Linked DNA regions of Cricetulus griseus. The protein of the gene in region 5 interacts with the protein of the main gene of each other region in a pairwise test. Links are inferred from orthologs where the notes say so. Each region holds a gene or a part of one and is shown on either strand. Other genes may lie near its edges. The genes, in order: Stx7, P4ha2, Lat, Ndufb6, Creb3, Cacfd1 and Ptdss1.

Region 1 (3,500 bases), about 140 Mb from region 5:
TTTCTAATAATGTATAATGTGTGCTTTTTTGGTCCTAGGCTGATATTTTGGACATTAATGAAATCTTTAAAGACTTGGGAATGATGATTCATGAGCAAGGAGATGTGATTGGTAAGTCCTGCTGGTGTGTTCTGGGCAGTAGGAGCAAGTTTCCTGCAGTTTACCTGCAGCAGCTCTTTCAAGCAAGAAACCACTTCCTTTCTGTTTCATTGGGATCCTCTGAAATCAAAGGCATAGCGTCTACAGTTTGCTGTGAAGGCCTGTGGGTCCTGGGTGGGGACTACACTTCACGGCAGTTAGGTTAATGAAAACAGAATACAATTATCAAATTCTTACTGTGAAGTTGTCCACTGTCCCATGCAAAGTAGGTAAAGCACTGTGTTTATGTGAATCATTTGAAGTGTGTTGTATTTAACAGAATCAAATACAAAGCCGAGGAACACTAAGAACTAACAGGGTAGTTTGAGTAAATAAACGTACAAAGGACTGGATGTGTTTGGACCCCTCCTTGGTCCTGAGGAGAGTGTTCTTTGAGAAGTGTTCTTTGAGGTAGACTTTTTCTATGTGATGTCGAATGTCTTTGGGCCTAGGGAGAAGAGGGTTGATGTGTTTTGCACATTGGTCTTGAGGCAGTGCAAGCTCTGGGGTTAGAAACTGACAGGAGCTTGTGCTGACACTGATCTGACATTTGCAAATTGACAGCACTTTTGTTGTGTCCAGTAGATGTAGATATGATTAAGGCCATTTGCTTATGCATTTGTATATTATCTGGATTGCGTGTTTTCCTTACATGTCTGCTGAATGAATTTTGGTGGTTTATAATTGGCTCATCAGTTCATGTTTAACAATTCTATGTGTATGTGCATTTTATTTTAAAGACAGCATAGAAGCCAATGTAGAAAGTGCAGAGGTACACGTTCAACAGGCGAACCAGCAGCTGTCAAGAGCAGCAGATTATCAGGTAACATTAACTGTAATCCGTTTTCTTTTAACTTAGAGTTTTGACTTGAAGTGGTTGCATAGGCTGACTTTAGAATTCTGTGGGAGGGGAGGATCAGAAGCATGCCAGTCAATTTAAAATTGGTTTGGGCATGTGTATTCTCATATTAATCTACAGAGATAGGAAATCATGAAGCTTGCAAGAGACTACTACTCCACACTTTTCCTGTTGTGGGAAGCAAGCATCACAGAAGGCAGGAAAACCATCCAGGTGAGGTACAAATAAAACTTGGGTCAGCACAGCTTAGCCGGTGCTGGATCAAAAACTTCTGGAGTCTGATATTCCAGAAGTTTTCACGTACTTAAACACAGTAAAACTTTGGAAAAAAAATTTCCATGTGGGAATTATTACACCAAAGCTTCAGGCATGGCTACATCAAAGTACATCTCTTTAGCAAAGCACCTGTGACCTTCACACAAGAATGAGTTCTATTGACTGGGAAGCAGTGCTCAGGAGTCTGGGCATAGGGAGGAAGGGTTTTTTTTTCTTTTCATTATTATTATTATTATTATTATTATTATTATTATTATTATTATTAATTCAAGTTAGGGAACAGGCTTGTTTCACATGTACTTCCCCTCTCCCTCTCCCTCCCCTCACCCCCATTCCTTCTACCCCACCTCCAACCTACCCCCTCCACCCCATCCACCCGCCACTCCCCAGGCAGGGTAGGGCCCCCAACCGGGGCTCCACCAAATCCACCAAATCTTCCTGTGCTGGGCCTAGGCCCCTCCCCATGTGTCCAGAGACAGAGCGCATCCCTTCAAGTGGGATGGGCTCTCGAAGTCCCCCCCACCCACCAGGGCAAAACGCCAGTCCACCTCCAGAGGCTCCCAGGAGTGCAGGGGCCTCCCCATTGGCATCCATGATCAGGGGGCTGGATCAGTCCCGTACTGGCCTCCCAAAGAGCGTCTGGGGTTGAGGGAGGAAGGGTTTGTGATACACATAAAGATGGGTTCTATTGACTGACAGACGTTGCTCAGAATTCTGGATGATTCGATGAGGGCCGGCTTTGCAGAATAGCAAAGATGACCAACTATTGACATATCCATTCCCATCTTTCCGGAGGGAAAACAGTGTCAGTTTCTTCCATCGAAGGAAAAAAAATATGTGAATTTAACAATTGAGGTTTTTCTAGTGCTGTCTGTAAACTGTGCTCCCTCTGTCCCATGGTGGTCTCTGGTGGGACAGTGATAGCCCGACATACGGAGAGACCTGTTTGGTAGCCTTTCGAAAGCCCTCGTTTCCCATCCTCCCCTTTTTCTTTTTCTTTTTCTTTTTGATTTTTTTTGTTTGTTTTTATTTTTGAGACTGTTTCTTTATGTAGCCCTGGCTATCCTGGAACTTGCTCTGTAGACCTGCAAATACTTCTCCGACCTCCACACTTGTACCATGACACATGTAACCCTACCAATCAATCAATCAGTTTACCAATCAATCTGCTTCTCTCTCTCTTTTTTTTTTTTAAGATTTTTTTATTCATGTGTACAGTATTCTGTCTGCATGTATGCCTCCAGGCCAGAAGAGGGCACCAGATCTCATTACGGATGGTTGTGAGCCACCATGTGGTTTCTGGGAATTGAACTCAGGACCTCTGGAAGAGCAGTCAGTGCTCTTAACCTCTGAGCCATCTCTCCAGCCCCTTATTTTTGATTTTTAAGACAGTTTCTCTATGTAGCCCTGGCTGTCCTGAAACTCACTGTGTAGACCAGGCTGACCTTGAACTCAGAGATCCACCTGCTTCTGCATCCCAAATGCTGGCATTAAAGGTGTGTGCCCCCACTGCCCTACTCACCGCTTTTCTTTCTTATCAGTGGTACTCCAGCCTGAAGTGACAAAGGACCTTGTACTAGGGAGGTCTCTTCAAAGTTTCTGGAAACTGTATTAGCTGGGAGTGTCATTAATCATTACATACTATGTCATCATGTGGTAGAGACCTTACAATAGATATAAATCTATTTCTCCAGGGAATCAATCTCGTGAACATGCAGAGTCCATATGTATCTATGAAATGCAACTCATGCTTCAGATACTAGACAGATGTCATGGCTGTCAACTGTTAATGACGCATGTGCTGTAGAGGTTTTTAAGAAGAAAAATCGCAAGCCCAAATACAAGGGCTGCAAACTGACTGAAGTGAACTTGAGTTGCTTTCAGCTGCTGTGGAGTCACCTCACTGAATGTGCCACTCTATCTTGTTCTTGCTTCTGCAGCGCAAATCCAGAAAAACCCTCTGCATCATCATTCTTGTCCTCGTCGTTGGACTTGTGATTATCTGTCTCATCGTATGGGGACTGAAAGGCTGAGTGGTGAGAGTGGACCGCTGCACGACGTCGTCTGGGTTCTGTAGGCAGATTCTCGAGGTCACTTTCTATTGTTATTTTAAAGGCAGTGGTGTAAAGGATGGTCCCATACTTTGTCATTTTTATTGGGGGAAGGAGGTTCTTTTGAATTCGATCTGATATTTTCTAATACTGAAGGTTTTTCTAAATACCATTGC
Region 2 (3,333 bases), on a different chromosome or scaffold from region 5:
CTGCTTGCCCCACCTCCTCTCTCCGCAGCATTTACCCCGTGCTCCCCATTAGTGGTGGCCTTGACTGGGAAGGGATCCTAGGACTTAATCTCAGCCTGCCCATTGCCCATGCCTTTCACCTTTGCTCTCTTCTCTGCTCAGCTCCTGGCTAGAGGAGGATGATGACCCTGTTGTGGCCCGAGTCAACCGTCGGATGCAGCATATCACAGGGTTGACAGTGAAGACTGCAGAACTATTGCAGGTAGGCTGGTCCCTGGGGCCAGAGGAGTTGGGTGGGGTTCTGTAGGGCTAGGTGGTCTCCCAAGGTTCCCAGGCTGTCTGAGAAGGCTCACCTACTCCATTAGTTACTCTTCTAATCAGATGATCATCCAAAAGAAGCAAATTGATGGAGGAGAGTTCTGCTTTGGTTCACAGTTTCAGTCCATCATGGCGGGGATGCTTGGCAGCAGGAGCTTGCAACACAGCTTGTTCACATCTTGCTGGATCAGAAACTAGAGGGCTGGGGCTGGCCAGGACCAACAGCAGACAAAAATTAGGCCCACACTCAGTGGCCTAATTATGCTGGCTAGGTCCCAAAGATTCCACCCTCCAAAAACAGTACCACCATCTCCGGAGTGAGTGTGTACTCGCATGAGCCTTGAGTTCACATTCCCACCATCCACACAAAAAGCTGAGTGTGGCTAACCATCTTACTGCCACCCCAGCATTTTGGAGAGCATCCACGGCTTGCTGGGTGACAGCTTAACTCCAGGTTAATTTTCTCAAGGGAATAAGGTAGAACGTGATAGAACAGGACACATAGCACCCTTCTCTGGCCTCTGCACAGGCGTGTGCACACACCACCATACACATATACCACATACACATACTACACACATACAGAGGTTGGGGGTTGTCTTCAGGCCTAGGAGAGTCGGGCTGCTGTGGGGCGTTGCTGCTGGCGAATTCAATGCTGTAATCTCTCACCAGGTCGCAAACTATGGAATGGGAGGGCAGTACGAACCACACTTTGACTTCTCTAGGGTAAGGCCCCAATCACGAGTATTTTTGGAGGGCTGTGTCTGGTTTGAGAAGGTTGGAGCTTCTAGAAGCATTTCAGCTAGCTCCATGTCATCCCTCTTCCATCTACCACCTCGAAAGGGAGAAACTCTGTTGTTGATGAAGCAGAGCCCAGTGGAGCCTGGTTGTTTCCTGTTGATGTGGGGTGTGTTTGACCCACTAATAAGGCAAAAGATCTCTCTAGGGCCCTGTGAAAACTTTTCTGGCCTCATTCCCCCTCCCTGTGTTCTTGCCGGGGTTCCCTTTGTAGCCTTGTCCCATGTTCCTGCTATTCTACAGAAGGCACACTTACCATCCCCTGACTCTTTTGGTCCCAGTCCTTTGGGTGGCGGGTAAGTTAGTTGCAAACTTAGATAAAAGTTGTTGTCTGTTACAGCGACCTTTTGACAGCGGCCTCAAAACGGAGGGGAATAGGTTAGCCACGTTTCTTAACTATGTAAGTACTGGGCTGGGCCCATTCGTTCACTCTCACTTAATTTTATAGAGCGATGAGCAAGATGCTTTCAAGCGTTTAGGGACTGGGAATCGTGTGGCCACATTCCTAAACTACGTGAGTATGATGCGTGCGCCTGATGGGCCCTGCGGAGACCCTGGGGCCAGAGAGCTCCTGTGCATCCCACCCCATCCGGGCTCAGAGCATCAGCTGCTGCATAGTGGTTCCTCAGGGCTCTTCTTGGCTAGAGTATAGAGTTGGCTTTTGTTCCCATCTGTGTGCTTGCCCTTCTCCTACCTCCTAACTCTTTCACACTCCCCACAACATTTTTTTTTTAGCTGTGGTAAAATATACATAATATAAAAATTGCCATTATAACAATTTTCTGTGTGCTTCAGTGATTATTTATTAAATCCATCCCCAATGTGAACCACTTACCATCTGTTCCCATAACTCTTCTCACCTCATAAAATGGAAACTCTATTTATATTGGACATTAATTCCAGAGTCCCTTTCTCACCACTACCCTGCCGAGACCACATAACCTCATCAAAGTGGAGTCCTGGAGTGTCCGTCTGTCCTTCTTGTTGGCTGATTCCCTTAGCCCCTATCTTTAACAAGTGTCTGTTGTGGCGTGTTCTGCTTCCTTTTTGATGGATGCAGGTCTACTCTGAGCTTTGGGAATGAGAGCCACGGTGGGCTCTGACCCAGGGGCAGAATGCGCTTTTAGATTGAAACTGCCTCTATTTCCTCAGAGGCTGGGTAGCCAGCCAGCTTCCCTCCTGATGCCCCCCACCCCCATCCATAGGCTGTCCCTTTACCCTTCCCCACTGTGATAGCCTACTCCAAGGAACCATAGTCAAGGAACTTAGAAACTAAGCTTGTTTTTTTTTTTTCCTCCTTAACTTTTAATTATCCTGGAGACTGCTATGTACATACACTGCTAAATAGGGTCCTATGTGGTCTCCATTGTGACATGGGAGACTCACTTAAAGCATGGGAGAGATTGTTATTTAGTTACCATGGAGACAAACACCGAAGAATTTGCCCAGACATGGGGTTCAGTAAGGCCTCATTTAGGAAATAGCATGTCAGTTGAGACTTGAAAATTAAATGGAAATTTGTGGAACATACTTTGGCAAAGAAGGTGTGTGGGGGCCTGGAAGGGACAAGTTTGGAATGTCAGGAAACAGGCAAAGGTTAGTGTATCTGGAGAGAGAGGCGAGTGAGACTGACTGACTTGGAGAGTCACTGGGTTTGAATGCCAGCACTAGGGAAGACACTGGGTTTATTCATTTTCCTTATCATGAGCCTGCTGAGTGCCCCTTCAGTCAGGCTGGTATGTGTCGTATTGGGAAACGTCTTAGCTATAGATAGTTCTTATTACCCTATAGGCCATTTTTATTATAGCATAGACAAACAAAACACTTCAAATAAGAGTGCAATTTAGTTTCAGAGAAAGCAGGGCAGAGTAGCATTCTGGGAAGGTGGAGGTCGGATTAGAGCAGGTAGAGCCAGAAAAATGGCCACCCAGGGAAGACGGTACTCCTGAGGTTGGAAGCTACAGGGAGCTCCTATCCAGCACTCTGTGCACAGTACAGAGTGCTGACCATAGGGGCCTAGGCAAGGCCCAGGCTGTGGGTGAGAATTCAAGATGGGGTCAAGATAGGCGTTTTCTTCTTTCTTTCTTTTTTTTTTGATATGTATTTATATGTATGAGTGTTTGCCTTCATATGTGTATGCATATATGTTGTAAGTACCATGTGCATGCCTAGTGCCCACAGAGGCCAGAAGAGGGCTTTGATCACCTGGAACTGGAGTTACAGGTGGTTGTAAGGCAC
Region 3 (4,184 bases), on a different chromosome or scaffold from region 5:
GAAACAACCTCCAACCAAAGACCTTACAGATACATTAGACGATATCACTTCCATGAAACAAGAACAGGGTACTTAATAAAAAGGACACCAAGCTGGGCAGTGGTGGCGCACGCCTTTAATCCCAGCACTCGGGAGGCAGAGGCAGGTGGATCACTGTGAGTTCGCGACCAGCCTGGTCTACAAGAGCTAGTTCCAGGACAGCCTCCAAAGCCACAGGGAAACCCTGTCTCGAAAAACCAAAAATAAATAAATAAATAAATAAAAAAGAACACCAAGAATCGTCCCTCTCCCTCCCCAAAAAAGAGTTTTCCGACAAAAGAAAAGAATTTTTCTTTTCTTTTTGTTTGTGGTAGTGCTGTTTTGGTTTTTGAGACAGGGTCTCACTGTATTGTCCAGGCTAGCCTCAAAGCCAACCCTCCTACCTAGATCCCTCGTGCCAGGGTTAAAGGCGCATGCCTACACATCCAGCTGAGAAATACGATTTCAGTGGAAAGGTTAAAGAAGAGTCAGGGAATTTCTTAGACAACAGATAAAATGATAAGACAAAGAGGGAGGGAAGGCAAAAGGAAAAGCAAGGTGATCAGAAGTGAGGAGCAGGAAGTCCAAGATCTGAGGGAGGAAATGGAAGGGTGGCGATCGCAGAAATGAGAGGGAAGAGAGGCATAGCCGGCGGCACATGGCGGAAGGAGGTAGTCAGAGACCCTAACTCACTGGAGAAGGCGCTGTCTCGGAGACCAGGGTTGCTGGGCACGGGAGCAGAGGAGACGACAGGAATGGCGGCAGGGGTGCTGTCAGGAAGCACCTCTCTGGAAGGAAGGGATGAGGAGGTAAGAAAGGGCACCAACTTCCACTCCCACCTCCCACCCCCCACTCACAGGTAGCCCTCATTGGGGTAGTCATCCTCATCTTCATCTTCAGCCGCATTCTCACAGGCTGGCTCTATGAGGAATGAGAGAGAAGTCAACGTGACCTGGGATAGACCCAGCCTCCCCACCCCACCCAGTACCCCAGACCCTAGACCCACCCTGGTTCTCGTAGCTCGCCACACTGTTGGCTTCAAAGAGAGAGGGAGAGGAAGATGGAGTCAGCTGAGGCTGCACACCCTCTCCCCAGCCCTCCAGCCCTGTACGCCCTTACCATCATCCGAATCCTGCCGGGAAGACGGCATCTGATGGGAACCTCCAAGGGGCTGTGGGGATCTCCTGGAAGTCAAGGGTCAGGGACCAGGTCTAAGTAGGAATCTGGGGGCAAGAGGGGTTACAACAGGGAAAAAGCCACCCCCCCATCCTAAAAGGTAAGGAGGCACAATGGATCAGAGGGAGGGAGCTGAGGGGTACTCACGGAATGGGGAGCAGGTCTGGCTGCCTCAGGGGTGGGAAGGAAGTAACAAGAGGATAGGAAGTGGCAGTTGTTCGGGGGAAGCCTGTTTCTGAGGACATAGAACCAAGCTTGAGGGAATTACTCCAGACAACCCCCCTGCGGGTGACAAGGCCTCTAAGGACAGATGTACCCCTAAAAAACATGTGCTAAACAGGCATGGGGGCTCCAACTTTCCCCCAACCCAGGCAATAGTCCTGCAGGCATCTTAGCGGGACAAAGGCACACTCCCAAGAACCCTCAAAGAAGGCCAAGGACACTGAACTCACGAGATGGTTTGATGAGGATGCTCCGTGGATAAAAACTGGCAGGAAAGAGGCAGCTTAGGTACAGGGCCAAGAGGGCCCCAGCCCCAAGCCCTTCATCAGAACAAAGGGAAGACACACAGGGAAATGGGACTGCACACTCACCTCTCTGTGGAAGCACTGTCATAGGAGACTGGAAGAGAGAGAGCCAATGAGGCAGGATCAGAATGCACTGGGAGCAAAGACAGTCCCATCCCGTCCCGTCCCGTCCCGTCCCGTCCCGTCCCCCCCAGGCAGGACTGAAGTATGGACAATTAGAGGAAGCCGGGGGCTGGGGAAGGCATGGGGATCCAATGGTGTGCCTAGCATCTAGTACTCCACAGCTCCCCACTTACCTGGCAGCTCACGGCAGCGCACACACAGGGCAGCCAGGAGCGTGACCAGGACAGGCAGCAGCAGGAGGCCCAGCCCCATGGGGCTCAGAGTGTCTGCTTCCATCTGCAGAGCACCTGGCCCAGGCCCTGCTGCACTGCAGCCCCTCTAGGCAGAGTGGCAGCAGGGGTGTGGGACTGAGTGGGCCCCAGCCTGGGATCCAGTGGCAAGCAGCTGTGTCCTCCTTTGGGGTTCAATGACCCCCACTTCCTTGCTAGACTGAGTTGAGCTCAGTGCTGGAAGAGGCTAGTCCTAAAGCCTGAGCTGGGGCCTGTGCCCCAGCTACCAGCAGCACGATCCCTGTGCCCAGCTGTACCTGCCCCTTTCTTGCTCCCCGCTTGCCTGCCTCTCCTCCTCACCACCCGCGTGCGACAGGAAGCTGTGGTGAGGGCAGGAAATCATCAGGCTCCTCAGCCGGCTGCGCCTGCCCCCTGCCCACTCACCCCCACCCAGCTGTGGGAAGGGGGAGGAGGCAGAGGGACCTTGTGAAGGAAAGGTCTGAGGCTGCAGGATGAGGCAACTGCTCCACTAGGAAGGCAGACACATGCCAACCAGGCCAGCTGTGGCCTCCCCATCTCTGAGCACAAGAACTCTAATGAGGTTCTGCCAGGGACTGTGTGGAACAAGGGCAGCACTGCCTCCACCTCCCAGGCTTGCTTCTGGGAGAACAACTTCCAGGGGACCACAGTGACTCACGGTCACACCGAACCAACTCACTCAGAAAAGAGCAGTCCTCCTTCTAGATGGCCCAAGCGCAGAAGACAGGGACTTACCCACAGGGTGACCCGACTGCCCCTGGTAAGTAAGTCCTGAGACCACAGACATTCCCTGAAGCCAATGGCACCCGCAGAGAGACAAGCAGCCAGTCATAGTCTGCTTACAAATTTTATTCCATTACAAATAGCACCAAACCCCTTGGGCTGCCCTAATAGACAGGACAACCCCCACTTCTGGAACCCCATCTCTTCCCTGGGCTGCCCATGTAGTGTTTGGGAGCTGGGACATATCCCAGGGCTTCTTCCTTGGACCTGGACCTGGTGATGGCTTCTGCCTGGGCACCTCCCAGGGTGGGCCCAGGGCCAGCTGTGGTGAACCTGTGGCTGGGTGAGCAACAGCTCCTCAGATGAGCACGCTGGACACAGGGACCCGGGTAGAACGGCCTCGCTGAGGCACCACAATCCGGTCATCTGAGGGTCCTGTCTCATGCAACAGACCTGTGGGGAAGGGGTCGGAGCCAAGGCCAGTCACATAAAAGCCATCAAGGGGACAGGAGACAAACAGGCAGAGGGGCATAGACGAGACAGCAGCAAGAGTCCTCAGAACTGTGTATAGACAGAAAGCCTGATGATACACTTTAAGACAGACTGAAAGCTGAGTGGGATGGTACTGGGAAGCTGGTACTATCAACCCTGGCAGGTGGCTGGCAGCATGGGCCTGGGTGGATGGGACAGCTGTGGACTAAGAGATGTGGGGCGCATACCTGTGAGCCAACAGATGGACAGACTGACAGGTGATACTGTGAATATGGGGTGACAGTGGCCCTCACTGACCCTGCATGTGGAGTTGAGCCCGTCGGCGGTCATCCTCAATGAACATGGCAGTGCCCAGGAAGGCCGCACCACCCAGTGCACCAACAAAAGCGCAGAGCATGAGCGAGAACTGCAGGGCCCGGAACTCAGACAAGAAGGAAGCAGGCCAGCTCCGTCGGAGGCGGTCAGAAATCTGCTAGGACAAAAAGAGTCAGAGACCCAGGGACGGAGAGGCCTGAACACCAAGAAAATGAAAAATGGAGCCTAGAAAGAGGAATGGTTTGAATCACAGGGTGAGACCCACAGCCCCACAGGTAAAACCTTTACCCAGCTTCCTTCCCAACCACCAGAGGCGCTAAGGGTGAAAGAGCCACAGGTGGCTATTGCCTCAGTAGGTCAGACTATCCCATCCACCAGCCATCTGCCAGAGTAGGGAGTACCAGGTCCCGATACCATCCCAGCCCAATCACGGGACAGTACTCACTAGACCAATGAGGTAAGGGCTCCCAGCATCACCTAGCAAATGGGACAGCACGATCTGGAAGGCCTCAGCAGTGGAGCGTCGAGTTGGGATCACCACATACTGGGGGGAAGGGGAGAT
Region 4 (4,214 bases), about 2.3 Mb from region 5:
TTTTGAATGATAGGCCATACCTGACCTGTGCTAAAAGGGCAGCAGAAATCATCTTCCCACCTCCTGCCAGGACTCTAGGTTTAGACACTCTGACCATATCAAGTTAGAAACTAGTTGTACATAAGAGTAACCTTTAGAATTTCAAGTTTTGAAACTAGTTGTATATGTGTACTTAAGTTCCATTAAACCTTTTACCCCAAAGAATCCAAAAAACTTCAAAATTGGCTTAAATTGGCGTATTATCCCCTGAGTAGAGCACAGCCACAGGAAATTATTGTAAGATATTAAAAACAAATTCTGAAAAGCACACATTTACCACATACTTACAGCTACGTGATATTTGACGTAATAGTGAATAAACCACAGAGGTATAATTACATGAGAAACAGTGAAGAGACTGGCCCGGTATGTCTTAAAGATCTGTGGGGGGAAAACACAGCACACAAAATAAGCAAATATCCTCTTTTAAAATTTTGGATTTATTTATGTATATTAGTGTTTTGTCTGCATGTATGCATGTGTGCCATGAGTGTGCCTGGTGCTCTTGGAGATCAGACAGAACCAAGCATTGGATCTCCCGGAACTAGAATTATAGACAAGTTTTCAGCCACCCTGTGGGTGCTGGGAACCCAAATTGGGTCCTCTGCAAAAGCCAAGTGGTCTTAAGTACTGAGTCATCTCTCTATCTCATCCACCCCTCATTTTTACTTTTTATTAATTTATTTTGAGACAGAATGAAAGGTTCAGGCAGATACCTAGGCAGCTCAAAGGGCCACGTCATGGATATGTCATTAATTACAGGGCTTCGTAGGGACTCTGCTCATGCTCGAGCTCCCCCTTTTAAGCCTGAGCCCACATCTCTCCACTCTCTCTGTTTCTGGTGGTCGACCACTAACTCTCTTCTCTCTCTTCTCTTTACTGTCTCTTACCTCTTCCCTGCTCTCTCTCTCTTCCTCTTCTACCTCTCTCTCTCTCTCTCTCTCTCTCTCTCTCTCTCTCTCTCTCTCATCTTTCCCCCTCCCCCACCTGTAATAAACTATGGTTAATGCATCTCTCATTGTCACATCTCGTCTTGCGCCTTTTTTAAAAAAATATTTTTAAACTTAAACAAAATAACAGCACAGGGTTCCTCTCTTTAGCCAAGGCTGACTTGGCTCACCATGTAGCCCAGCCCGACCTTGAACACTCAGCAGCAGTCCTTACTCAATCTCTGGAGTTGCTGTGATTACCAGCATGTGCTACTTGCTATACTAGCATAAGATACCTCATTTTTCAATGTGTGTGGAACAAAAAGCAAAACCAACCCCCCAAAAAAAATCCTACCACCAACAAAGAGTGTGATAATTACTTTACAAACTTCTAAATGGAACGTATTTCCTGACAAATTGGTGCTAAACTACTTACTCCAATATTTTCACTACCTCTGAGACTTCCTTTGGGACATCCATAGACTCCAGAGAATGAGACTTAGGATAAGAAACATTCTGCAAGACTTCAAGACAAGGTTTAGGATAAATAGCATTCTGCAAGATATACGGCATTCATGTTCAAGAAAAAAGTGAGGCTTCTTACTAAAACATGGGTGTTCTAAACTCACTGAACTCTCTCCTGGTACACCTTTTTAAAAGTAAAGTCAACAGACAAAAAAGGGGAGGGGAGCTTTTCTTTTCTTTCTTCCTTCCTTCCTTCCTTCCTTCCTTTCTTTTTTTTGTAGTGGAATTTTTTTTTCTTTTTTCCTTTTAGAAGCACTCTTATTTGTATATCCATCCCCCCATTCCCTTGCCCTCCCATCCTCCCATGCTCCCCACCAACTCCCCAACCCACCCCAACCCCTCCCCAGGGATAGTGAGGCCCTCCAAAGTCTGTCACATCATTTGGGGGAGGACCCAGGCCCTCCTTCCTGTATCTGGGCTACAGTAGTATCCCTCCATAGGGAATGGGCTCCCAAAGTCCATTTGTGCTCTAGGGATAAACATTACTCCACTGTTGGGGTGGGGGGGGGCTTTTCTATGGCATCCAATTTGACTAAAACACATCCTTTCAGAAGAAAGACAACCTAGAATTTATGTATTATAGCAGATAATTATAGAAGAAAAAATTAATCATTCAAAGCAAGGTAAGACAAAATTCAACAAATGATTCATTTCTTAAATCACTAGCTAAGTTATCAACCAGTGACTGCCAAAATTAACAAGGTATCTACAATCCAAAGAACCACATGAGTTTAAAACCTAAGGTCTGACTTCTCAGTACACCTGACAGCCAAACGGGACCATCCCCCCTAAAACCAACCCACTCCCAGACTCCAGATCCCTACCCAGGACTCTCCTAATGTGACAGTCTCTGCAAACCTGAGTCCCCGGACTGACTGTCCCTGAGGGCCCTCCGGGGCATGAACTGGGAGGGTCGGGCCCTGATGGCACTGAGAGGAGCCGCGGAGTGGGAGGGTGGCCGGGCTGCGACCCGGCGTGGGAACTGAGCCTGTGTGGCTCATCACTCACCACTTTCTTCCACAGGGCCCCGTCCCGCAGAAAGTTATTCCAGAATGTCTCCAGGGGCCACGTCTTGCGCGGTGGCAACACGGGCTCCCGGGGGCTCAGTTCCTGGTCCTTCAGCCATTGCCTTCTCAGCACCCGCAGCTGCTGCAGCCGCAGCTTCTCATCCGGTGTGTACCCCGTCATGTCCCCGGCGAGCCTGCCGAAGAGACTCGGCGTGCACCTGAAACCCGCCGGTCACTTACGCGCTCCTCGAAGCGACCTTGAAGGCACCTGGGACCGCGCGTTGTGATGACGTCACACCCAAACACGGCTGGGGAGTCGGGGGACTCCTTCCCGGAAGTCAGGATCTGCACATGCGCAAAAGCCCTTTCGCCGACCCTGGTTCTAAAGACCCCGGATTAAGAGCAAGTTTTTTTGAAGGTCCCTCAGGGCGGGAAGTGGGTGTGGTATAGAAAGTATGAGAGGTCCTGGGGCTTTAGTTCAGGGAAGAAAGAACTTGTAGGGGATGTTGTTCTTTGCTGCAGCTTCCGGCGATGAAACACGATCCACCAAACCCACATGGAGTTTAATGGGAAAGGGAGCGAAGGGAGGGGTAGGTGTTAACCGATCGGGAACAGAAATGGAAGGAAAGAGGACAGGCGGGAGGCACTTGCTTAAAAAGGGAAAGGGAGAGGGTTAGAATGAGGCTCAGCAGTTGGGGCCGTTGAAACTGGAGTCATGGAGCTGCAGTTGACCCAGCTCTGCATGCAGAAGTCCTTATGCAGCTGCTTAACACATGCACTATGCAGCCATGCAACCTTTGACAGCCTTTGAGCTGTCAGTGAGGAATGATCACCTGTCAAAGATAGATCCTGGAGTGAGGGAAGGTCTCCTGGAGAAGAGCAATCCCGGGGCGGGGAGAAAACCCTAGGATTAGAGAGGCCCTGCGACCAGGAAAGGTTCCCTAAGGAGAAGGCTCAGGCCAGGAGAGGCCTGACATGGACCCGGGGAGAGGGAGAAGCCAGGATATCAACAGGGGAGGGGTTCGGAAGGACTAGTGCATGTTTATAGAACTTCTGCCCCGCCCCCTTGAATTCTCCCCCTTCCTTACCTAGAGACAATGGCATACAAATTCAGCTCCTACAGACTTTGAAGAAGGGTTGGGATAGGGCAGGGGAAGAGGGGAGGGAGAGGGAACTGAGATTAACATGTAAAAGAAGCTTGTTTCTAATTTAAATTTAAACAAAAGAAATTAAAAAAAAAAACAAGTTCAGCTCCTAGCCCTTTTGTAACCCCTCAAAGTGATCTTGAGCAAGTATTTAAGTTTCCTCCCTCGTCTGTACTGCTGAAACAAAGAACGCTTTATTTGGGAGTATTACCTAGGCCCGTTCACTCTTTGATCCAACAGTCCCACTTGTAAGATGTCCCAAAGATATGATTGTAAAAATTTGCAGGGGTATGCATGAATATTCACCATGACACAATTTGTAAAACCTTGGAAATCACCTCCCAGATTCCTCAATAGGGGATTAGTGGAAAACCTTATGGTACTGTAAAGCACTGGAATGCTACAGCCATTGTATAGCTAAGCTCTCTATTCACAACTGTGGAGTGACCCCTACAATCTGTTGTTAAGGCAAATAAATAAATGAAAGCACCTACACCCATTAGAAAGAAGAGTATATGGTATGCTACCTTTTATCCAAAAGCAAGGTGAGTAGTAGTGATACTAAATAT
Region 5 (2,753 bases):
TGACTTCTACCTCTCCCCACAGGGTCTGACTCGGGAAGGTTTCCGGACAGCTGAGGGCTGTTACCGCACTGTATGGGAACGCCTGGGCCTGGCTTTCCAGACCCCAGAGGCATACTGCCAGCAGCAAGTGTTCCGCTCACTAGCCTACATGAGGCCGCTGAGCATCTGGGCCATGCAGCTGGCCCTGCAACAGCAGCAGCATAAAAAGGGCAAAAGGCCAGTTGTCACACAGGGCACAAGACTAAGCACAGAGCCTGAACATGAACCAAAGAAATCTTGGACAAACCTAAGCCCAGAGTGATCCCCCTGAACTGTGGAAGCCCAGCCAATACACTGGTCTTTCCTCCTCCCTCCCACCACTCCTGCAGCCCTGAGCCACTAGGACAATCAAGCCCCTTCCCTTCTTGCTACCCAACTGTGCCAGTAAAAAGGGGCCAAGGAACCACTTATTTATTTCTTACCCTCCCCGTTCCTTCCGTGGATGAAATATTCAAGGCCAGTAAATTTCTCCAAGTCTATTCATGGAACAACAGATATACATGAGTATAAATAAAAGACCATAAAACTGTTAAGTATGGTGTGTTTGAGCTCCCAGGCATCCTAATAGGGCACAGGAGCAGAGGCCAGCTCTTTCCCCCATTCCTTTTTATTTGAATACTGACAGGAATCCTCAGGCTGAGGGTACCCCGCATCTCAAATCTAACATGAATGCCTGCCCAGCAAGACAACAGAAGAAGGGCTGTGGGTAGGCAGCCACTCCCCTTTCTTTGAAAGATTTGCCTTCAGGGGATGGTTGGGGCCTGAGAAGGGGGTCTCTGAGGAAAGATCAAGGAATGTCCAGTGCAGGGGTGGCTCTGCCTGAGGCATGCAGTGTAGGAGGCAGGAAGCGTTGCTGGAGGCCTGGAGCATCTGCTCTGAGCTACCCAGCAGCTGGCTTGTGCTGTCCTTCAGTGACTTTGACCGCTGGGCAGGCAGCTTCTCCTGATGACAGTCCTCACTGGGAAGGGCACGAAGCTGACGGTGCAACACTGAAGAGACAAAGCCTTGTCAAGTGACAAGACAGAAGCCACCCTTTACCACAGCCCATGCCTTAAAGGTCCTCAGCCTCTTACCAACATACTCAGCTGGCACACTCCCCCTTGTGTCAGAGGAGTACATAGCAGGTACAAGAAGAAGGCAGAAAGAAAACAGTAGGACCTAGAACACGGAAAAAAGAGATGAAGGGCTCTGGGTCATACACCCCATCTCTGCCAAGAAAATGATCTGCCGTCCCATTCTCCTCACCAGAACACACGTGCTGCCGCTGCTGGTTTTGTTTGCTATCTCAATAACCATGGCCTGAAGTTTCTTCAGTTGATCTAGAAGGGACCTAAGGGAAGAGAGAGGAAACAGTGGTGAGCATGCCCTGGTCTAGCACTGAGTCACAATGAAACTCACCCTACCACCCTCCTCCCCACCCCCATTTAAGCCACTCTCTCCACTGGTGCAGTGGATCCAATCTCTTAACTTCCTTGCCATCCCCCCTCCCCCCCCAAATGACTTCTTTGTGGACCTGTGGTTCCTTATTGAAACAAAAAATAAAAACTTCCCTGCCTTGACTAAAGCTCCTTTGCCAATACCTTCCAGAATTCTCTTAATACGTGATCAACTATGCATGTAATCCCCACCAGGTACTGTGTTCTCTACTTTCTGGGCCAACGCAAACACAAACACTGTCTTCTCTCCACCTAGAATGCTTTCCCCACTCAGCCCCTCCTACCCCCATTGCAACTGCTCTGATGTTGACTACCTCCATTCAGTCTTTTTCTTTTTTTTTTTTTTAAGATTTTATTTATTTATTATGTATACAGCATTCTGCTTCCGTGTATATCTGCACACCAGAAGAGGGCACCAGATCTCATAATAGATGGTTGTGGGCCACCTTGTGGTTGCTGGGAATTGAACTCAGAACCTCTAGAAGAGCAGTCAGTGCTCTTAACCTCTGAGCCATCTCTCCAGCCCCTCCATTCAGTCTTTTCTTACTTCCTCTTTGTCTTGGTACTTAATTTCTTCTTAGCTACTTGGAAATTTATTCCCCATTACTCTGAGCTTGAGACCTGGCAAAGGCCAACCACCAGATTTTTGAATTTAGGAGCAATCCAGTTAGAAGTCAAGGGTGGAATAGTGGAAAGAGTGAGACAGCATTAAACTAATGACAGGACTGGAGAGATAGTTCAGTGGTTAAGAGCACTGACTGCTCTTGCAGAGGACACAGGTTCATTTCCCAGCACCCACATGGCGGCTCACAACTGTCTGTAACTCCAGTTCCAGAGAACCCGACAAACACACAGACATACATGCTGTCAAAACACCAATGCACATAAAAGTAAAAAATCATTAAAAAGATTTTAAAAATTAATGACTATAAATGGTTGCTTACAGATTCTGTTCCTCTAGAATTCGTATTTTGTTCTGCAGCTCCTGGTTCTGGGCTGTGTATTTCAAGACCCTGGAGGATAACATGGATATCAAAATATTGCCTGTGTCTTCCCTTCAAAAGCTTAAGGCTTCCAACTTGTTCCCCATGCTCTTCCTTTCCTACCTGCTCTCCAACCCTCCCACATACACCTTCTTCTTCTTGCGGCTTTCTTGAGCAGCTCTCTTGTTTCGAATCTTTCTCCGTATCCGTTTGAGAACCTGTTCCTCCACCTAAGAGAAGATGGGAAAAAGGTCATCCAAGGTGTATTATTTTTTATATACCCATACATATATAT
Region 6 (3,500 bases), on a different chromosome or scaffold from region 5:
GCATCATGGTAGCTTTAGCAGACAGATGTTCACCAGACCTGATTGACATTAGCTAACAAATTAAGACAAAGGAAGTATGTCCAGCTGATTAAATGTGTTTAACATTAAAAGGAATGGGACTGGAGAGATGGCTCAGTGGTTAGGAGCACTGTCTGCTCTTACAGTGGTCCTAAGTTCAATTCCCAGCAACCACATGGTGGCTCACAGCCATCTGTAATAAGAACGGTGCCCTCTTCTGGCGTGCAGTCATATATGCAGGAGGAACACTATGCATAATAAGAAAAAAAAGAGAAAAGAACTGTTTTTTAAAAACAAAACATTAAAAGGAATGCCATAGTCTTTCTGGTAATACTGAAAATGATACCACAGCAAGTCAAAAAAGCAGGTTCAAACTTTATAAGCAGGTTTGGCAGTTATAAGCATGTTAAAGATGAGCTTCAAAGTGTCTGGATTCAGACTGGAGAGACATATGCCAAAAACATGAATAGGTAGTGAGGTCTGGAGTGATCATTTTCTACTTTACAAATGACTTTACTGTCAGCATCATGATGATACATCTTAAAAACTCAAAGAAAGCCAGGTATGGTGACTCACGCCTTTAATCCCAGCACTCAGGCGGCAGAGACAGATGAATCTCTGTGAGCTTAAGGCCATCCAGATCTACAAAATGAGCGCATTTCAAATACAAAAGGGGAAAAAGGAAGGGATGAGGACATGGCTTAGTTGGGAAGGTGCCTACTGCACATTCCTGAGAGCCTGTTTGGATCCCCATAAAAACCCAAGTACATCGGGGCTGGTGAGGTAGAGACAGGTGGATTCCTAAGAGCTCACTGGCCAGGCAGTCCAGCCAAATTGATGAGCTCCAGGTTCAGTGAGAGACCCTATCTTTAAAAACAAATGGAAGTTATCTGAGGGAAATACCTGATGTCCAAATCTGGCTTCCACATTCATGTGCACCCACATACATGTTCGCATGCACATGTTCGCATGTGTGCATACACACAAAACATGCTACACTGACTGATTAGAACTTTGTGATCCTGTAAGCCCGTTGGACTCAGACACATCAGAAAACTGCCAGCAAGCACATGACAGACTCTTGTATATTTTCACTGATGAAGCTGCTGAGCCTCCACCAAGCTTTGATATAACCTGATCTTAAAGATAAATTGTGATAAATATCATTGCCTAGATGAGTTCTCGTGCAAAAGCCCTTCTCTAGAGGCTTCTGTGTATTCAATTTATCTTGGAAGTGACGCAGTCTTATGACACACTGAACTTGTCAGAACCAGAAGGAGAAAAAGCATATTTAGAGGAAAATGGTGTTTTCTGTTCTGCAAGCTCATGTCTGGGCATCTAGGTTGGCCACACTCCTTTCAAGGCTGCACAATGTCCACACAGATGTACTACAACCTGTCTGGCAAATCCCAGCTGCTTCCCTGTTCCCCTACACACATACTGCTGCAGACACTACAGATCTTAAAACACTTGTATAGCCGTAGCTGCCATCTGAGCTCCAGAAGGCAGATATTGGGTCCCATTCTTTAGCAACTGATGTTGGATGGGCCAGTGGCTGTGTCCACAGCTGTCAAATAAAAATTTCTGCAGGAGCTGGGCGTTGGTGGCGCACGCCTTTAATCCCAGCACTCGGGAGGCAGAAGCAGGCAGATCTCTGTGAGTTTGAGACCACCCTGGTCTACAAGAGCTAGTTCCAGGATAGGTTCCAAAGCTACACAGAGAAATCCCATCTCAAAAAAACAAAAACCAAAAACAACAACAACAAAAAACTTCTGCAGGAAAGAAAGACCTCTACCTGTTTCTGCCCCACCCACCCTACCAATACCTGCTTTAACCAGTAAAAGTTTGGAGAACCATGCCATAGGGCTGGCCCAGCAGCCCTCACCCGCAGTAGAAAACAGCTTTCTGCCAGGAGCGTAGCCGGTCCACCTTCTCAGCTACTGTATTTGCAAACTCCACGAACTGGCAGCAGAAGGGCGCCTCGCATAACAATAGGATGAAGGCGTTCATGCTACAGGGCAAAGGCAGAAAGGACAATGATAGTTGACAACCTGGGGCTGCAAAAGCCATCATGCTAGTGGCTCAAGGAACACCACCCTCCCACAGGCCCTCTGCTTCTGTAAGCACTAGGCAGTACAAGGTACCAGTTTCTGCCAAGCAGCTCAACACCCCACCCCCCCACCCCCCCACCCCACCCCACTGCTGCAGCAGCATCTCTAACTGCCCAAGCATCCAGGAGGAAGATCCTGCTAACTCTGAAATGAAGAACTAAGACCCTTGCACCTCAATGTTATCTTGAGCTAGCAGCATGTTCATCCGCAGAACTTAGTCACAATGCCAATTGTTAATAATATCTTCATAGTCACAACACTACCATTGAGGGCAGGGTGCTCCAGCAGAAGTGCAAGGGCTGGCTGCATCCAGTTGCTAAGGACCACTCATGACATAAGGCCTGAGACCATGTGGGTCAGGCAGAAAGATGCACGATAGTGGAGCTTCCACTCAGGAGACTTCAATCCTTGCCCAGTTGCTGGGAACAGATAAGTTGCTGGTGCTGAATGCCTTTGCTCCCATAGGTGGGTAATTGTCTGACCAGACAACTGGGCCTTTGCCAGCCCCACATTTGGAAGGAAAGTGCCTATAACAGTTTGATTAACAGACACAGCTCTTGTAACTCTAGACTACTGCCTACCTCCCCACCCACCACGGCCACCAGTCTTCCAAATACCAGCTCACTGTTCCACTAATCTGTACACAACCTCTACAGTCCCCATCCTTGCCACCTTGGACCAGCACAGGCCTCTGTACACATCACCACAAGACCAAAATCACCCTGGCCTGAGGCCTAAGGCAGGACCTGTACCCTGCCCCAAATGCCTGTGTAGCCCCTTGTAGGCACTAACAAATGCTAATGCACAGTGCTTCCCATGTGCCTTGAGCAGCCCTTACTCTGGTGCCCCTTTTCCTGGGATCCAGCTGCCAGAAGAGGGTGATAAGGAGCTCACCTATGGATGCTACAGCCACTAGTTCCATCTGCATCTGCCCCCCCCCCCCCAACTAGCCCTGCTCACCGCCCCACAGATGACCACCCTCTTCTCTCCTCTTAGACCCTCAACTCTGACCTTACACACCATGGCTCTGGAGCTCCCAGAAGGAACAGCCCATGGTAGTAGACAAGGAGTCTACAGCGTCTAGCTGGATAGATGCTCAACAACTCTTATGACCTTGTACCCAATAAAGGCTCAGCCAGCTGTCCCCCTGGCCCATTATTAGGAACCCTAAATGTGGCGGGAGCAGAAAGGGGGATGTGCCCTGCATCACAGACCTCAAACCCCACCAGGGCAGGCCATTCACAGATACTCACATCATCCACACACCGGCTGCGATATTCAGAGGGTGGATGGTGACACAGTTGAAGAGTCCAGAGATGGCACAGGCTTCAAAGCAAAAGACATGGGCAGGAGTTAGTGGAGTATGGATTA
Region 7 (3,500 bases), on a different chromosome or scaffold from region 5:
ATTTTTTTTCTCAGGCTAGCTTATAAAGTCAGCAGAGCAGGATATGGGGAGGGGTAGAATGGGTTGTTTGTGAGCCAGGTGTTAGTGTAGGCAGGATATTAGGAAGCCACAAAGAGGATGTTTGGCAGGATAAAGAGTTCATGAGTAAGAGGTCCAGGAAGGGGTTGCCTAGGTGAGTGAGCCTGTGGGTGGAGGACTGGGTCAAGTTGTTTCTTTTCTTGAGCTGAGGTTCTAAGGAGCTGCTATGTAAAGGTTAATATACAACTATGTGGCCAGCCAAGAATGGCCTAGGATCTCCTGCCAAGCCCTGAGATTTGGCTCCCAACACCTCCTTATGCTGGGAAGACACATAAGGAATGTGGATGAAGGGCCTGACCTGCTTTGCCACTGTCTTCTACCTCTCTCCTTCTGGAAGGAAAGGTCTGGAAATTTGTTATCTATGTCATTGACACTGAGCATCCAGTCTAAACACAAAAGTCCTCAGTAAAAAACCTCTGTGGAATTATACTACCCACCAGGTGTTTAAATGGCTTGGGTTTCGGCTTAACTGGGCTAGTCGGAGGGCTGGCAGACCTTGTTCCTGTGTTGACAAAGCTGATCTACACCATCTTTGAACCTAAATCTATTCACATGCAAGATAGATTGTTGATGACAGGAGTCATTTGAATGTGTGATTCCCAGGATTAAACTCATGAAGAGTTAGACATCACTGTTACCACAAACTCTGGGGAGAAATAAATGACTTTGGTGAGCTCAAGAACATGAAACATGAGCCCTTTTATAATGACACCCTCTGGGGAGACAGAATGGGAGGGAATAGTATCCTTGCCCCATGTACATTCTTCCTGGGTGCTTCCAGGTCATATCTTTAATTCCTGTTAACTTCTTTTGACACCCTTCACAAACTTAGCCCCCTCTTAGCTCAGCAGCACCCTGAAGCCCCCCTCCCCCCAGCTTCCAGTATACTCCTGTGACCTAGGCTTCCACTAGGAAGGGTCCACTCCATTCTGAGGAGTTGCTAGAATATCGTCAGTGCAGTTTTTCCTTTTTCCCTCTTTGTTACCCCTGGATTTTCACGGTTTCCATTCTTTTCTTCCAGGGACATCCATACCACCACAGGGAAGATCAAACGTGCTGTGTTACAGTTCACCCCTGCTAGCTGGACTTACGTCAGGTGGTTTGACCCTAAGTCTTCCTTTCAGAGAGTGGCTGGGGTATACCTTTTCATGATCATCTGGCAGGTAATGCCCATTCTAAGGGGTGGGTGGGGGCAAAACATGATTCTTCCTGGAGGCTAGAATTAATGGTAGATTACATTTCACGTCAGCTGGACACTTTGGAAGAGAATTTGTAGCTGGCATATAGGGTAATGAAAATCTAGGTTACTGTCTGAGGAGTTGCTTCAGTGTGGAGACATTTTAAAACTGGATTCTCTGAATTACAAATTAGGAACTGATTTCCTGGGAAAGGTCATATTTAGCACCCATCACCCAGTGAAGTAGGTGTAACACTGTTTTGAAGAATATTTTCAAAACCAAAGGAAATATGTGAAGGTTCTTTTTTTTTTTAAATTTAATTTGTAATTTTAGTTTTTGCAGTGCAGGGTATAGAATTCATAGTGTCCAGAGAATGTCCTGGAACTCATCCTCAACAGATGCTGGGGAAGTTGTTTATAAAATTGAGACAATAAGTGGGTTGGCATTGAGTTTTGTCTTTTCCTTAATTAGAAGGAAGCATGACCGGGTTTTCTAGGGTCTTGCACCCTGAATACTTTCTTATATTCCTAATTCACTCTCTGGTATACAAAATTGTATCTCAGCCTTCCCCAGTTTGTATAATGTTCAGAAAGCTTTCTCAGCTGTGGAAATGGGACCCATGGATTATGTGAATCTTGTAGAAAATTGGGGGAGAGAAGCATTCCAGGTAGAAGAAATCTCAGTAGTCACTGGGGAAGGATTCTCATATCTCTGGTTTTGGAGACAGACTTTTTGTTTTGTTTTGTTTTCTTCCTGTCCCCAGGGGTTGTCACAGCTTCTGGAGACTCACCATGGGAAAACACATGTTGCTTAAAAGTTCTTGCAGAATCATCAAACATAAAGTTTTATGACCTTCCTACGTTCACTGTATTGAACATGTGCATACACCACACATAAAATAAGAATATAAATAAACGGTAATTTCAAAAAGTTAAAATATGGTGGGAAAGGTCAGTGCATATCACTTTTAAGAGTGAAAAATCTTGTTCACACATGGAAAGCAATTCCTTTCCTGATAGACAGAGTTTATATTTACAGAAGTACAAGGGAGTAAATCACTACTGTGGTTTGCAGAAGTCACTCTGCCTCCTTACTTGTGAGGTCCGTATCTGAAGATTCAACCAACCACAAATAAGAATACTCTCAAAAAAAAAAAAAAATCCTTACAAAGTGGGAGTGGCGGCACACACGTATAATCCTGGCACTCAGGAGAGTGAGACAAGAGGGTTTAATGCAAGTTCAGTACCAGGTCAGCCAGCACTGCAGAGCAAGACCCTGTCTCAAAACGCCGCCGGCAAAAGTTCTGTCTCTGCCCTGAACACACACACTACATGCCTCTGGTAGTCAGTTCTCAGATGGACCTCAAACATCTTTAGGTCAGTTGCTGATCTGTCTATAGTTGGGCTTTAGACTGGCCTGAGCTCCATAAGGCTATAGAAGTACTGATTTGTACCATCTGTCCTGACTGTCCCACATCAGGTCACAGAGAGGAGCCAAGGGACAGAAATGCAAAACAGGAAATGTTTCAAATAGCTGATGACCTTCCCACCACTCCAGTCATATATACACACGCACACACACGCACAGCGACCTGCTCCCAGTTGGTCAGTAGCTATGTATTGTCTGTTACTACTTTATCAATCCCTGGGAGACCCCATATGTTTTCTGAGAATGCTTTGGACATACTGGTTACTCTTAGCTCTAGAAAGCCTGTTTAAGGAATGTATGCTCATGATGTAATGTGGCACAGGGTGACTGGTTTCTCTTTTCTTCAGTTGACTGAGCTGAATACCTTCTTCTTGAAGCACATCTTTGTTTTCCAAGCCAGCCACCCCTTAAGCTGGTGTAGAATTCTCTTCATCGGCTGCATTACAGCTCCTACAGTGAGGTAATTCTGTCCAGCCCCGCTGCCAATTGCTGAAGAAGTGTGCTTGCTTTGTGTTTTCATCCCTAACATAAGGGCTGTCACATCAACTAACAGATTTTCTGTGAAAATGTTATTCTAAGTAACTGTCCAGAATATCAAGAATGTGTTTTGATCTGAGACCTCAGTACAACAGTGAGAGTTTTTAAAAGAAAGCAGTCACTTAGTGGCGTTCCCCTAGAACTACCCTTGTTTTCAACAACTATGCAGTCTGTCCCTGCTCGTCTTCTTACATCCTGTTACAAAATATTAAAGGTGACACTAGGTTTCCTAAAATGAGATTATTGGTAAGTAGAAAAGTCTGTGTGCAAAATATATTA

Evidence for each region.
Region 1: the proteins of Creb3 (region 5) and Stx7 interact in a two-hybrid assay, tested with the Homo sapiens proteins (2 studies listed by BioGRID and IntAct). The two-hybrid records come from large-scale screens. The link is inferred for Cricetulus griseus from reciprocal best matches to the Homo sapiens genes CREB3 and STX7.
Region 2: the proteins of Creb3 (region 5) and P4ha2 interact in a two-hybrid assay, tested with the Homo sapiens proteins (2 studies listed by BioGRID and IntAct). The two-hybrid records come from large-scale screens. The link is inferred for Cricetulus griseus from reciprocal best matches to the Homo sapiens genes CREB3 and P4HA2.
Region 3: the proteins of Creb3 (region 5) and Lat interact in a two-hybrid assay, tested with the Homo sapiens proteins (2 studies listed by BioGRID and IntAct). The two-hybrid records come from large-scale screens. The link is inferred for Cricetulus griseus from reciprocal best matches to the Homo sapiens genes CREB3 and LAT.
Region 4: the proteins of Creb3 (region 5) and Ndufb6 interact in a two-hybrid assay, tested with the Homo sapiens proteins (2 studies listed by BioGRID and IntAct). The two-hybrid records come from large-scale screens. The link is inferred for Cricetulus griseus from reciprocal best matches to the Homo sapiens genes CREB3 and NDUFB6.
Region 6: the proteins of Creb3 (region 5) and Cacfd1 interact in a two-hybrid assay, tested with the Homo sapiens proteins (2 studies listed by BioGRID and IntAct). The two-hybrid records come from large-scale screens. The link is inferred for Cricetulus griseus from reciprocal best matches to the Homo sapiens genes CREB3 and CACFD1.
Region 7: the proteins of Creb3 (region 5) and Ptdss1 interact in a two-hybrid assay, tested with the Homo sapiens proteins (2 studies listed by BioGRID and IntAct). The two-hybrid records come from large-scale screens. The link is inferred for Cricetulus griseus from reciprocal best matches to the Homo sapiens genes CREB3 and PTDSS1.

Annotation. Positions count from the first base shown.
Region 1 is NC_048595.1:243,395,353-243,398,852, forward strand, and holds part of Stx7 (syntaxin-7), read left to right. Parts: intron 1-38; coding exon 39-111; intron 112-878; coding exon 879-961; intron 962-3,213; coding exon 3,214-3,306; 3' UTR 3,307-3,500. UniProt on the Homo sapiens protein: May be involved in protein trafficking from the plasma membrane to the early endosome (EE) as well as in homotypic fusion of endocytic organelles. Mediates the endocytic trafficking from early endosomes to late endosomes and lysosomes.
Region 2 is NC_048600.1:68,293,680-68,297,012, forward strand, and holds part of P4ha2 (prolyl 4-hydroxylase subunit alpha-2), read left to right. Parts: intron 1-141; coding exon 142-241; intron 242-969; coding exon 970-1,023; intron 1,024-1,435; coding exon 1,436-1,495; intron 1,496-1,543; coding exon 1,544-1,609; intron 1,610-3,333. UniProt on the Homo sapiens protein: Catalyzes the post-translational formation of 4-hydroxyproline in -Xaa-Pro-Gly- sequences in collagens and other proteins.
Region 3 is NC_048596.1:74,437,913-74,442,096, reverse strand, and holds the start of Lat (linker for activation of T-cells family member 1), read right to left. Parts: upstream 2,801-4,184; 5' UTR 2,121-2,800; coding exon 2,018-2,120; intron 1,816-2,017; coding exon 1,788-1,815; coding exon of another isoform or gene 1,682-1,787; coding exon 1,647-1,681; intron 1,430-1,646; coding exon 1,342-1,429; intron 1,203-1,341; coding exon 1,138-1,202; intron 1,055-1,137; coding exon 1,025-1,054; intron 940-1,024; coding exon 876-939; intron 807-875; coding exon 712-806; intron 1-711. Other genes in the region: Spns1 (protein spinster homolog 1), read right to left, coding at 3,174-3,268, 3,605-3,776, 4,068-4,166. UniProt on the Homo sapiens protein: Required for TCR (T-cell antigen receptor)- and pre-TCR-mediated signaling, both in mature T-cells and during their development.
Region 4 is NC_048595.1:102,275,121-102,279,334, reverse strand, and holds the start of Ndufb6 (NADH dehydrogenase [ubiquinone] 1 beta subcomplex subunit 6), read right to left. Parts: upstream 2,801-4,214; 5' UTR 2,682-2,800; coding exon 2,502-2,681; intron 421-2,501; coding exon 328-420; intron 1-327.
Region 5 is NC_048595.1:99,950,819-99,953,571, forward strand, and holds the end of Creb3 (cyclic AMP-responsive element-binding protein 3), read right to left. Parts: intron 2,689-2,753; coding exon 2,582-2,688; intron 2,489-2,581; coding exon 2,420-2,488; intron 1,370-2,419; coding exon 1,285-1,369; intron 1,198-1,284; coding exon 1,113-1,197; intron 1,029-1,112; coding exon 700-1,028; 3' UTR 501-699; downstream 1-500. Other genes in the region: Gba2 (non-lysosomal glucosylceramidase), read left to right, coding at 23-301. UniProt on the Homo sapiens protein: Endoplasmic reticulum (ER)-bound sequence-specific transcription factor that directly binds DNA and activates transcription. Plays a role in the unfolded protein response (UPR), promoting cell survival versus ER stress-induced apoptotic cell death.
Region 6 is NC_048599.1:138,693,550-138,697,049, reverse strand, and holds part of Cacfd1 (calcium channel flower homolog), read right to left. Parts: intron 3,456-3,500; coding exon 3,383-3,455; intron 2,030-3,382; coding exon 1,904-2,029; intron 1-1,903. UniProt on the Homo sapiens protein: Transmembrane protein which mediates synaptic endocytosis and fitness-based cell culling.
Region 7 is NC_048603.1:17,741,794-17,745,293, reverse strand, and holds part of Ptdss1 (phosphatidylserine synthase 1), read left to right. Parts: intron 1-1,099; coding exon 1,100-1,241; intron 1,242-3,031; coding exon 3,032-3,144; intron 3,145-3,500. UniProt on the Homo sapiens protein: Catalyzes a base-exchange reaction in which the polar head group of phosphatidylethanolamine (PE) or phosphatidylcholine (PC) is replaced by L-serine. Catalyzes mainly the conversion of phosphatidylcholine.